Linked DNA regions of Caenorhabditis elegans. The protein of the gene in region 3 interacts with the protein of the main gene of each other region in a pairwise test. Each region holds a gene or a part of one and is shown on either strand. Other genes may lie near its edges.

What was found. Proteins that work in one complex are often made in the same cells at the same time.
Region 1: the proteins of nhr-53 (region 3) and prx-5 interact in a two-hybrid assay, tested with the Caenorhabditis elegans proteins (one large-scale study listed by BioGRID).
Region 2: the proteins of nhr-53 (region 3) and col-19 interact in a two-hybrid assay, tested with the Caenorhabditis elegans proteins (one large-scale study listed by BioGRID).

The regions. Positions count from the first base shown.
Region 1 is NC_003280.10:8,702,977-8,707,277, reverse strand, and holds prx-5 (TPR_REGION domain-containing protein), read right to left. Parts: upstream 2,455-4,301; 5' UTR 2,454-2,454; coding exon 2,354-2,453; intron 2,305-2,353; coding exon 2,120-2,304; intron 2,072-2,119; coding exon 1,727-2,071; intron 1,679-1,726; coding exon 1,448-1,678; intron 1,303-1,447; coding exon 1,213-1,302; intron 1,161-1,212; coding exon 697-1,160; intron 651-696; coding exon 557-650; 3' UTR 518-556; downstream 1-517. Other genes in the region: Homeobox protein ceh-7, read left to right, coding at 3,449-3,646, 3,854-3,910.
Region 2 is NC_003284.9:419,930-423,208, reverse strand, and holds col-19 (Cuticle collagen 19), read right to left. Parts: upstream 1,503-3,279; 5' UTR 1,486-1,502; coding exon 1,351-1,485; intron 1,298-1,350; coding exon 563-1,297; 3' UTR 518-562; downstream 1-517. Other genes in the region: hrg-11.4 (VWFA domain-containing protein), read left to right, coding at 1-66, 114-259, 3,152-3,279. UniProt on the Caenorhabditis elegans protein: Nematode cuticles are composed largely of collagen-like proteins. The cuticle functions both as an exoskeleton and as a barrier to protect the worm from its environment.
Region 3 is NC_003283.11:15,700,040-15,704,101, forward strand, and holds nhr-53 (Nuclear hormone receptor family member nhr-53), read right to left. Parts: upstream 2,325-4,062; 5' UTR 2,321-2,324; coding exon 2,199-2,320; intron 2,014-2,198; coding exon 1,928-2,013; intron 1,871-1,927; coding exon 1,668-1,870; intron 1,419-1,667; coding exon 1,223-1,418; intron 1,168-1,222; coding exon 782-1,167; intron 727-781; coding exon 625-726; 3' UTR 567-624; downstream 1-566. UniProt on the Caenorhabditis elegans protein: Orphan nuclear receptor.

The sequences.
Region 1 (4,301 bases), on a different chromosome or scaffold from region 3:
CTCTCGGATCTTCTTCTTCTTCAACCAGCTGTACCTTTTCATGATAAATGGCCATGTCATGTGCTTCAAAGACAGAAAGAGAAAAGGAAGAATGTGTTCGATGACCGGCAAATAGAAAAGAGTGAGACGTTTGGAAGAGGGTGGCGGAAAGATGATAATAAATAGAATCAGTCATATGTTCCGAGGTTTTACTCATGGAACGGTGACTCATGTGGAATTTCTGAGCATTTTGTAGAAATTCACCGTAAGAGAAATGATAGGATTTGATTACTTAGTGTCTAGAAGTCTTGAAGAATGTTATTTTAATTTAGGCATTATTCAATCATTTCATTGAGCTCTAACAATGTGAGTTCTACAAACAAAACAAAATGAGCTGAACACTTTTTGTGCTAGGTCGGTTTACTTCCTGCTTTCTTACCGCTGTAATAACATTTTATGACCCTTCCAAACTCGTGATCGGCTTGAAATTGAGATTTTCAAAATGAAAGTTTGAAAACCAAGTAAAAAAATTCGAGGAAAAATAATTATTTATTTTAGTATTTAAATTGTAATTATTCTAGACTAGAGAGGCTTTTACAGCTGCCAAATCTCGTCTTTCCACTGCTCTCAGTAAATTGTCAGGGACATTCGATGTTCGGATTGCTGCTGATCTGAAATTTGTGAAGGTGATTTTAACATATAAAGCTATAAACTAACCTCATAGTTGTCCAAATACCAGATGCATCATTTCCTCCTTTTTGCAATTCTAATGCAGATAAAAAATGTTTCAAAGCTTCATCATAAGATGATAATTGCATACAAGATATTCCCAAATTGTATCTTGCTCTGACATATGTTGGATACAATTTCAAAGCTTCTCGATATGCTGAAATGGCTTCAGCTGTGTGGTCACCATTGGCTAACGTAGCACCAAGACGATTCCAGAGACGAGCATCAGTTGGATTTTTGGAGATCGCCAACTTGAGAGAGTCGACAGCTCTTGCAAAATTGCGATTCAAGTTGTATAAAACTCCGAGAGCATTTTGAAGATCTGGATCTGGAGTTGCTCCTTGTTGCCGAGCAGCATCCAAGAATCTAGCCTCAACTCGATTAAAAGTGTCACTGTCCAGAAATGAAGAGTAGAGTGGAGGTGTGGTTGTCACTTGAGTCGAGTTTGAACCCTTAAAATATTTATTCGTGTGGGATTATTCTTGAAATAAAAATAAGAAATACCAAGTAAGAAGACATCCATTTATCCAATTGATGTAAAGCTTCATTTTCCATTCCTTCGTTCGCTTGACTGACAGACAAACCAAGAAGTGCCTGAAATAATTTTGATTTTATTGGAAGTTTTTTTTTTTTTTTCTTAATTTCTGTTCTTAAAAAGTTTTAAGAGACAGATATGAATTTTATCGCGACCTATCTATTTTATGGCATCAAATAATCAAATATTTTTCTCAAATTTTACCTCCTTGTTTCCAGCGTCAATCTGCAAACATTTTTGGAACGCTTGCATTGCTAACTGATCTTTTTCATTTTCAGCATGAGCCAATCCTAATTTACACCAGGCACGTGCATCCTGAGGATCTTTTTGAACTGCTGCTTCATAGGCAAGCATGGCATTTCCAATATCTCCATTTCTCATTAGATTGTCTCCTTCCATCAGTGGATCTGACATGGTTGTGAAAGGGTTTGCTTCCTGAATAGGAGGGTTATAAAAATGTGTTAAAGAAGACAAAAATCTTACCTGATAAACATAGTTTTCAGGACTTTGAAGAGATTCGTCCTTTTCCATATCTCTCTTAATTTCCTCCCATCTCTGTTCAAAAGCCTGTGCATCTTTCCAAGTGTTTTCCATTCCATAATTATCTTGTTGCTCCATAAAATCATCAGCCCAGTTTTGAGTCCCAGAAGATTTGGTTAAAGAAGTATCCACAGTATCCAGATATTCAGATGACCACATACCAGCATCTGTTATTGGTTGATGTGATGACGTGGATGTCATTGATGGAGCTTGAACTTGACGCCATGCAGATTCCATGCTTGGAGCACTAGATGTGTATTGTTGACTCCATTGACTCGCTAACTGGTTCTGAAGCAATCAATTGAAAATACCAATATATGAATGCATTAGAAATACCTGTCGCGGTTGAAACTCCTTTGTCCAATTTGCTGCCAAACTTGAGGATGCTGATGCCTGTGGTAAATTATTCTGCATCGACTTCATGCTGAAACTTGTTGGAGCCATTGTTCTCGCTTGTTGTCTTAAAAATTCATTAGCCATTTGTTCTCCCATAGAAGAAGATGGGAGAAGAGAAGCTGCAGCTAAAAACTTTTTTTTTTGTTAATTTTTACTTGAATATTTCCAGCTTACCATTACTCGGAGCGACTCTTTGATTGGATGTTCCAAATGTGTTAGCTAACCCGACAAGAGCATTCTGCTGTCCACATTGTCCTTCTACAACTCCTTTCATTCTGTAAAAAATTGAAGAATTCGAGAGTTAATTGTTGAAAAAAAGTAGAATTAAAAATGAAGAAAAATACAATTTACAAGAAATATATAAAATAAAGTGTGAATTTTGATTGAAAAAGAAAATAAGTGGGCCCCAGTGTAGTCTTTTCATCAAATTGATTGATACTACATTAGGATTTAGAGTGAAGGAGACGTAGTGATAAAAAGATAGTATTGTCTTATCAAAAAGGATACAATTGATGAAATTTAGATAAGGAACAACGGAGGTCGACTATCGATTTCTGAAATAACCGGGAAACGTTTATGGATTTTTTTTCCAAGTTTTCCTAGCAAGATTGAAAACGTAATAAAATAGAATACCTTATTGTAAGTTTCCAAATTTCAATCCTTCAATTAGATATTCTAGTTGCTAGTGGAGTTATCCTAGATCGTTTTAAATTAAGCAAAATGGATATTTTGCACTTGGTTTGATTTTCAACAACACGGGTTTCTGGCTCGACCCGTCGCCCCATTGCACACTTGCACGGGGGAAAAATATTTGATTGTGCAATAATAATAATAATTTTTCGTGTGCAAAAGACAAATTTTGCTCGAATGAAGTTGTGAATTTAAAGAGAGTTCCCCCATTATTCCATAGCTAGGATTGATGTCATCTGGATCAAAATTTCAAAGATATCGAAACTGGCAGGAAAAACATTATTAACCAAAAAAATGTCAAGACAACCTTATTCGTCGACTGCATACATTCAGTTTTTTCCCCTATTTTGACATATTCTGTATACCTATAGGTTTTGTAACTATAAAACATTCCTTGAATACTTTTTTGTATAATGTCATCATTATTATATTTTCTTTTATAAACAAGGCCTATTAAAATGTCCAATAAAACTACGAAGATATACACAAAAGGTGTGATTTTATAATGTATTCCCTATAATTTAAACGAAACGAAACGAAAACGGGCGGCCCCTTGTACTGACAATTGACGGCATAAATATGAAACACGAAATGGTCTTTACATTCTTACTGATGATGGTTAGACCAGAAGCTTCAACCTCCAGAATTCCACGTAGAAGAACCACATTTACAGTGGAACAACTATATTTACTCGAAATGTATTTTGCACAAAGTCAGTATGTTGGATGTGATGAAAGGGAAAGATTGGCAAGGATTTTGAGTCTAGATGAATATCAGGTTTCTATTGTTTTTAGAAATCTATTCTCTATTAAAATTGTTTGCGAAATTTATCCACCAGGCTGAGCTCCAGCAACTTCTACGTTAAGTCTAACATATCCGATTGTATGTTGTAAAGATGTGATTAGATCAATCTAGGAAAAAAATAAAAAATTTTTAAATCAGTTGTTATCATTCAATAATTTTCCGAGACGTAGCACATTACAGGTGAAGATTTGGTTCCAAAATCGTCGAATCCGGATGAGAAGAGAAGCCAATAAATAATAGTCAAATATTTATTTAATTTCATTTCACTGAAATAAATTTTGTAGTTAGAACCACTATTTCCAACATTGAAAACATCGCTTTACGGTTTTGAAAACTCCTCGAGAGCAAATTCCTGATCATCTGACACTTTTCCAGACATTAACCCATTGTCTTTTAACCTGACAAATTGTCGATTTCTTGGACAAACAGTCAAGTTGGTAGGCGAGTCATGGGGAGTACACTACATAAATGAGTTGTGATGTTTGATTTTTCTCTTTTTTGTATGTTTTGCATTGATTAGAAGCAGCCAATTCTTTCTTAAAAAATAATAAACTCATATTGTTTAAAAAATCATCTAGTGCATTTTAATTGGAAAAACTGGCCAAAACTTGCAAAAAAGCATAAAGTT
Region 2 (3,279 bases), on a different chromosome or scaffold from region 3:
CCCCTCATATCACTCAACAATCTTATAACTGTACGTCTCAAAACTTGTATCATGCCAAGTTCAGAGGTATTTCTCCTTTCTATTTTCTCCCTTCTCTCATTGTCGGTTTCTAGGATACGATAGTGATGGAAACAGGTTCCAGAGAATCTACGACTTTAGCTGTGACCTAAGTGAAATTACATTCACAACACCTTCCGTGCACGTTTCGACGACGCCAGCAAGGTTTTGTGAAAATGGAGGAATTCTGTATAATGAAACGGTACGTAGGTGGCTTTATTTTCAGGTGGACTGGGGCTGCCCGGCAAAAAAATTTTTTTAACTGGACTATATTTCGAAGGACAATCTTGGTATAATTTTCTATTTTGGTAAATAATTCTAGTAGTTGGTTTTTAGAGTTGGTTTTTAAAAAGTGTTCCAAATTAAAAAAAAAAAGAAATTTGCCAGATTTGAAAAGCTGAAGTATTTTGATTTGCATGTGAAATTGCAATTTAAAAAAAAGTGCAGAAACAGAACACAATTTGGAATGTTCGAAAATTTATAAAAAAGACAGAGAAAGGCAGAATTAAGCCTTGTAAGCTGCACGAGATGGGCATGGACAATATCCAGCATCTGGTCCTGGTGCGGCATCCTCTCCCTTTTGTCCTGGAACTCCATTCTTTCCTGGATGCCCTGGTGGTCCTGGTCTTCCGGCGTTTCCGTTCTTTCCAGCCTCTCCATCGTTTCCTGGTGCTCCTGGATTTCCGGCTGGTCCGGTTTCTCCGCGTGGTCCTTGTGGTCCTGGACGTCCTGGCTGTCCTGGCTTGTACTCGGTTCCTGGTTCTCCACGTGGTCCTGCTGGTCCTGGACGTCCGGCGGCTCCTGGTCTTCCTGCATCTCCCTGTGGTCCTTGCTCTCCTGGTCCTCCAACTGGTCCTGGTGGTCCGCGTCTTCCGTTTCCTCCGGCTGGTCCAGCAGATCCTGGAAGTCCTGATGGTCCTTTTGGTCCTGGACGTCCTGGTGGGCACTTGATGCATCCTCCTGGAATATCGTGGGTGATGGCAACAATAACTCCAGGAGCTCCTGGCTTTCCATCGTCTCCATCGTGTCCTGGATTTCCCTTCTGTCCACCCTCTCCTGGTGGTCCTGGTGGTCCAGCTGGGCAACCCTCGGATTTTGGTCCGCAGTTACATTGCTCGAATCCAGCTTGACGAGCGGTACGGGCTCCGAAGAGAGTCTCAAAGGTTGGTGGAGCATTTGTGTGTCCGGTTGGGTTGATGTGCTTGCTCACCATACGAGCCCAGGTGTCTTGGGTGATAGCCTGAACACAAAGTGAATTGATAACAACACTAACTTCCTTTATGTAAAACTTACTCTAAATTCAACCATACCATCCTGGAACTCAACTTGAAGCTCCTCGATCTCATTGAGAAGGTTTCCGATGGTGTAAAGCGAGGCAAGAACGCACACAAGTACTCCGCAGGATCCAACCACAATGAGCTTGCCCATGTTGATGAACTGATGTCTTTCTAAATGGTGACCGTTTCCTTTTATACTGAAAGTTGCTGAGAAAGCGAAAGTTACACCTTCAAACCTAACCAGTGTAATCTAACCAATTTCATTTTTCTGCCAGGAAAAAAAATGCGTTTTTCATTTGATAGATAATGTGTTTCCAAGAGAGATGGACAATGAAATTTAAGGAGAAATTTCTTCTATCTGTTTTTTTTTCTGGTTGGGGAAATCGGAATTTTTTTGAAAATAAAGACAAAGCGAGTGTTTTTCAACGAATAATGTTCAAAAATGAAGTTCAATAACTAATCTCAAAAATTTTCTTTCGAGAAAAAACTATGAATTATCTGGAGTTTTATTGTTTTTCAAAAATTATATACTCCTTACTTCAAGGATTTGGGCAAATACTAAAATATTACCTAGCTGGGATACTAAAAGAGAAAGGCATAAGTTTGGTTTTAAAATTTATTTCCAAATATTTCTATCCTATAATACAAAAATTTTTGAAACTAACCATATTGGTTCAGAAAGCACGTCAATTTTGAACAAAGGTATTGTATGCTTACTGTTGTTTAGAACACACTAAATTTCGAGTTTTTAGAGAGAAAATGCGTTAAATTTTCGAAAAAAAAAATTAAATAATACATTGGTGCAAATTTTCAAATGCTAAATACGAATTTATTTTATTATGAATTCAAATAATTTTCATCAGTTTCCCAATAAAAAAACCTATGAGAAAGTATTAGATGTAGCGCGGTAAGTTTTCTGAAATTTGTCTACTTTCTCTGGAATTTTTAATTTTTTGGGAATAAGTTTACATTTCCTAATAGGGACGTTTGGAAGCTTTTTTTTTGAAAAAGTCCCAATTTTTTTTCAAATTATAATTTTTAAAAGCCGCTGACCTCTATTCAACAAAGAAATAGTGTGAAGAGTGATTTTTTGTGCGTCCCTCTTAAGAATATAAAATTCTTGAAGCTCAAACTAATAAATCGTTGGTATGTAGTTTAAAGGGTTGTAGTCTGACATTAAATTTATTTGATGTTCCAGGTTTTTATAGTTTCTAGTTTCTAGTATTTCTAGTATAAATACGAGTTTCTAGCATATAGTTTATAGTAGTTTTATGAAATTTTATATATTTGGATATTTGATATAACGCCCGAAATCACTCATTGTTTTAGAAAACCTTCGAATCAAAATTTTTGACAGTAATTTAGGCTTCAAAATTTCAAATCAATTTTATAGAAATGCAAGTATTTCTTGAAGATTTTAAAATTGACGTCACAAACTACGAACAACACATGAATGATCGCAAGCTGCATTTTTGAAAATAGTTTTAAAACAAACAATTGAAAACCACAATTCATGAAAGGAACAAATCAAAACCTTTCCAATTCTTATCTGGAAATTTTAGAGCATTTTTTGTTCCAAGTGCGTAACTTTTTTGACTGTTAAGCTATATAAGCTCTAAGACCAAGTGACATCAAAAATAGCCGAAAACTGATTAACATTTGTCAAAAATTTAAACAGATTTGAGAAATTGGAGCAGATTGAAAAAAAGTCTTAGAATATGGATATTTGAAGTTTCACTTTTTGCAATTTTTATACATATGTAGGAAAATGTCATCTTTATATGTATGAGATTACTAATAGCACTACATTTTTTCAGGGATGTTATTGTGGCGAATTTTTCACCGGCGGTAACTGCGAGATTCCTCTTTGTCTCAATGGCGGAACCACGACTCCAGACAACGCAGGCTGCATTTGTGATGTTGGGTACAGTGGTGCTCATTGTGA
Region 3 (4,062 bases):
AGACTAAAAAAAGCAGAAATAAGTTTGTAAGATCAAAAAGTTGGAGGTAGATTTGTTGTGTGATGTGTCTGCCAAATAGAACTCATTACACACGTTTTGAATATGATCAAACACTCTGAGAGCTAACGAGACAATATATTATATATTCACGAGGCTCATTAGTCATAAAGGCAAATCGGACTCCAGCTTAATCTGATGTTATTTCAGAACTCAACAAACTCTTGAAAAACAATGGTTGTGGCATGCTTTTATACCTCGTGTGCCTATTGAAAATTATAAAATTGCATGGCGTGTTTGCACAGCTTTCCGAAATTATACTCTTTTTTTTAAACTGAGCATGCTCCACCAGAGCGCATTAACAGAATTTGCGAAATCCTCTCCTTCTTATGGATTTGCCAAAGTTATTTTTTCTGAAAATAGCATTACTTTTGATTAAAAATTTCAAAAAGTTGCTCAACTGCAAAGTCGCATTGTTCGGTACATTTATTCGGCACATTTCTTCTTCTTATTCCCCACTTCTGCTTTTCAGGACAATTCTAACAAAAGTTTTAATTTTATAGACAAATAAAAATAATACTTGTTTATTGTACACTAAGAAAATAAATTTAAAAAAAACATTAAAATTCAGGAAGTTGGCGAGAACATGTCGTAGAGATTCTTGGGCAGAGCATACAAATTGAGCAGATTTTTGATTTCCATATACTCGTGGAAACGGTGACTGGCTCTCTGAAACAACTTTTGAGCTTATAATCAAAAAATTGTTGCTCCGCGAGCAGCAAACCTGAATTGAAGGAAGTATGGACAAAACAGCGCCAAGCCTCATTGCCACGTCAGCGTATACATTTATAGATTGATAGTGAAAAAGTAGATCCTTGATAATAGCGCTCTTAATCTTCACAGCTTCCTCTTGAACATTCTTCCGATCGGCTTCTACTTCTAAATCGGATTCCCAGAGAATTATAGCCGCTAGAGCTAGAAACTCATTAACATCTACATTTTCAGCACTCAACGGAACAGTTATAGAAGTGTGGAGCATTCGAAATTGCTGAGCAAACATCGAAATAGTGTCTTTTTGAGAAAACGTGTGATGATTATTGTTGAAATATGACTCTAGATGAGCCAAATCAACGTAGTCGCCCGAAGGAATGAGCATCACATTTTCTTGCTCTGAAATTTCAGTTTTTGATTTAATTTTAATTTTTATCTAAAAAGTGGAACTTACTCGTCAAATATCCATAATATGAGCTCTCCAAAAGTGTGAATGGTAGGAAAAAATTCTTAAAAAGCGATCGTTTTGTGTCTGGAAGGAGCTCAGAGTACTCGGGAAATGCTTCGCAAAGGAATTGATAAATTACAGTCATCTCATTTTGATACACTACTTGAAGCTCGTTGAAACTGATGGCTCGGGGAAGTTGGTTCTGGAAAAAAGTTTTAAGCTTTTGGTAATTTTTTTGAAAATTTCGAAATGAAACTCTGTAATTTATGTTCGAGGTTCTTAAAGTTTTTTTTTTTTTAATTTCCCAAACGGCGCAGTGGGAGTTTTCTTGTACACAAAGTTAGGGGGTTCGACCCTCACTGTGAGTATTTTTTAATTAAAAAAATGTAAAGCATAAGTTCAGATTTCATCCTTTAACAATATCCAAATATCCGTATAAAATCACCCCTACCTCCTGCCGGTTATGAACCTTCTTCCTGACAACTAGTAACTTTTCATACGCCCTCCGCATAGTGTCCAGAACTGGTTCTTCACGGTTCGTCGGTAAACCGTCTCGCCTCCCCAGTTGATCACGTTTCTGTTGTACAGATGATCGTTGCATTCCCACTTCGAGACATTTCTCGTACCTACAGGCTCTACACATGTTACGCACATCTGAATATGTGTAGTTCGGACCATACAAATTGTAGTGGTGTAGTTATAGATACTCACTTGATAAGATAAAACATTGACCATTTTTCGGACAATCGTGGACCTTATTCAGTTGGACTGTGCGTCGGAAGAATGCAGCGCAGGCTCTGAAACATAATCGTTAAATTTATTTGAGAAAAAAAAGTAAATTTGCAGCCGACATCGACCGAGGTCCGCCCACATATTTTTTGTCAGCGCTTCTTCTGCTCACAAGGTACACGTTTTGTGAATATTTAACACGTTTACAGTTGGGTTACTGTAGATATATTACAGGAACATACAAAAAACTTGCCTACATGCTGCTGCTCCAAAATGATGTCCATCAGCAACTTCACAACAAATCAGACAATATGAAGGTGGTCCTTGGGAAGAAGAACTTTCGAAATTGTTTAATAAATGAGTTGGGGAAGGCATTTTTCTGAAAAGAAAGTTGAAAATGTGTGATGATAAAAATATTAGGGAAATGAGTTTGTTGAAAAATAGAAAGACGGATAATCCAAAGTGGAATTAGCTAAATGTCATAAGAAACATGAAAATGTTATTTATTCAGGTATAATAAGTTCTATTTAATAAATGAACAATCAATAGTAAGAAAAATCTATAAAAAGATACTAACAATTCAAGTTGGCTGAAGTGAAACAAAGTGAAAATACGGCGGCCACCACTCAATAATACAATAATCAGATCATTTTATCACCTTTCGCCTCGTCATATGGTTTCCCTATTGATAACATCATTGATCACTTTTGAATTTAATATGCAAGGATTTGAAAATTTTTGGCAAAATTGATATAAAATAAACCAGATTTTAAAACCTTGAAACAAGAAATAAAAATAAGTTATGTGGGCTACTAAGGAAGAGATTATGAATAAAAAATAAAAAATTATGCATAAGCCGTAAGGCAGCATAGTCTAAAATTTTTTTTCACCAGATTAAAGAGCAACTTTTCATTGGAAAATTAAATATTGCGAGCATCCCGTGTTGGAAAAGTCTAATTTTTTCTCATATTTCACTAACTGCGATGTTTCCCGAGTAGCGAGTGATTTGTGAAATGTAAATAAAAAATATTAGGAATTGAAAATCTAAAATGTTCAAAAATTGAAACTTATACTGTTTGAAAATTGAAACATGTAATTTGACCAAAATACCTTGAACTAGAAGACTCTTTTCATTTATAAAAATGCTCTCATTTGTGCACTACAAATAGGATAGGCACTGAAAGTAAATACACAAGTAAATCAACTGTGCGGAACAATGGACTGTGATGTTTTCTTTAGAGAAAGGGAACAGATTGACACACACTGACTACACTGTAGTGCTACAAATGTTGATTGGATTGAAAAAAATGGTTGGAGATTGGGCTAAAAGAAAAAAAGCCTTCTTGAACGTGATGTGGGAAATGAATTCAAATTATCTGAAATAATTAATAGCAGAAAGTATTTTAAAAATTGAATCTGAAGCCAGAAGAGTTCAATTTTTTTCGAAGTAAACTTGCAATTTGCAAGATATGCAGTTGTTCAATTTTTCTGGAAAAATCTAATAAAAATATAATTTACAAAGCATTTTGGGATTTAAACTCCCTTAAAATAAGCTCTCTGAAAATATAAAAAGAAAAAATTATAGAAACTTTCAGGATTTTCAGCAAATTAGCTCTCACATTTCTAAGTTGATTCTACCATAGATGGTGTTTGAATGTAGGCTTGCCACAGCCTGCCTGCGTGCCTACTAGCGTATTTATTTACCACCTGTTCACAGTCCATGTTCACGAGAACGTTACCCGAAAAGGTGAAATTTTTTAGCAAGTTCAAAATCCAAATGAAACCCGACAAGAGAAGATTTCCATTTCAATCACTTATCGATATTTCTTTTTCCCATCAGACAATCAATGAATAAAAATTGTTGAAATGTTTTGGTACAGGGTGTCAAAGCAAACCTGAAACAAATTGTGTAATATTGTTTTATTACTGTTCGTCTCCTGTTTTTTTCATAAATTGAACGCTACCTGAAAATATATTAATTTTGTATTTTATTGATAATTCTATTTTTTTAAAGGCGCTTTCAGTGATATGAAAAATACTGTAATAATTTTTCACTTTGAAAAATTTGATAGCGCTCAGTTCCCACTCATAACTTCTTCCACGAATTTTATGTTCTC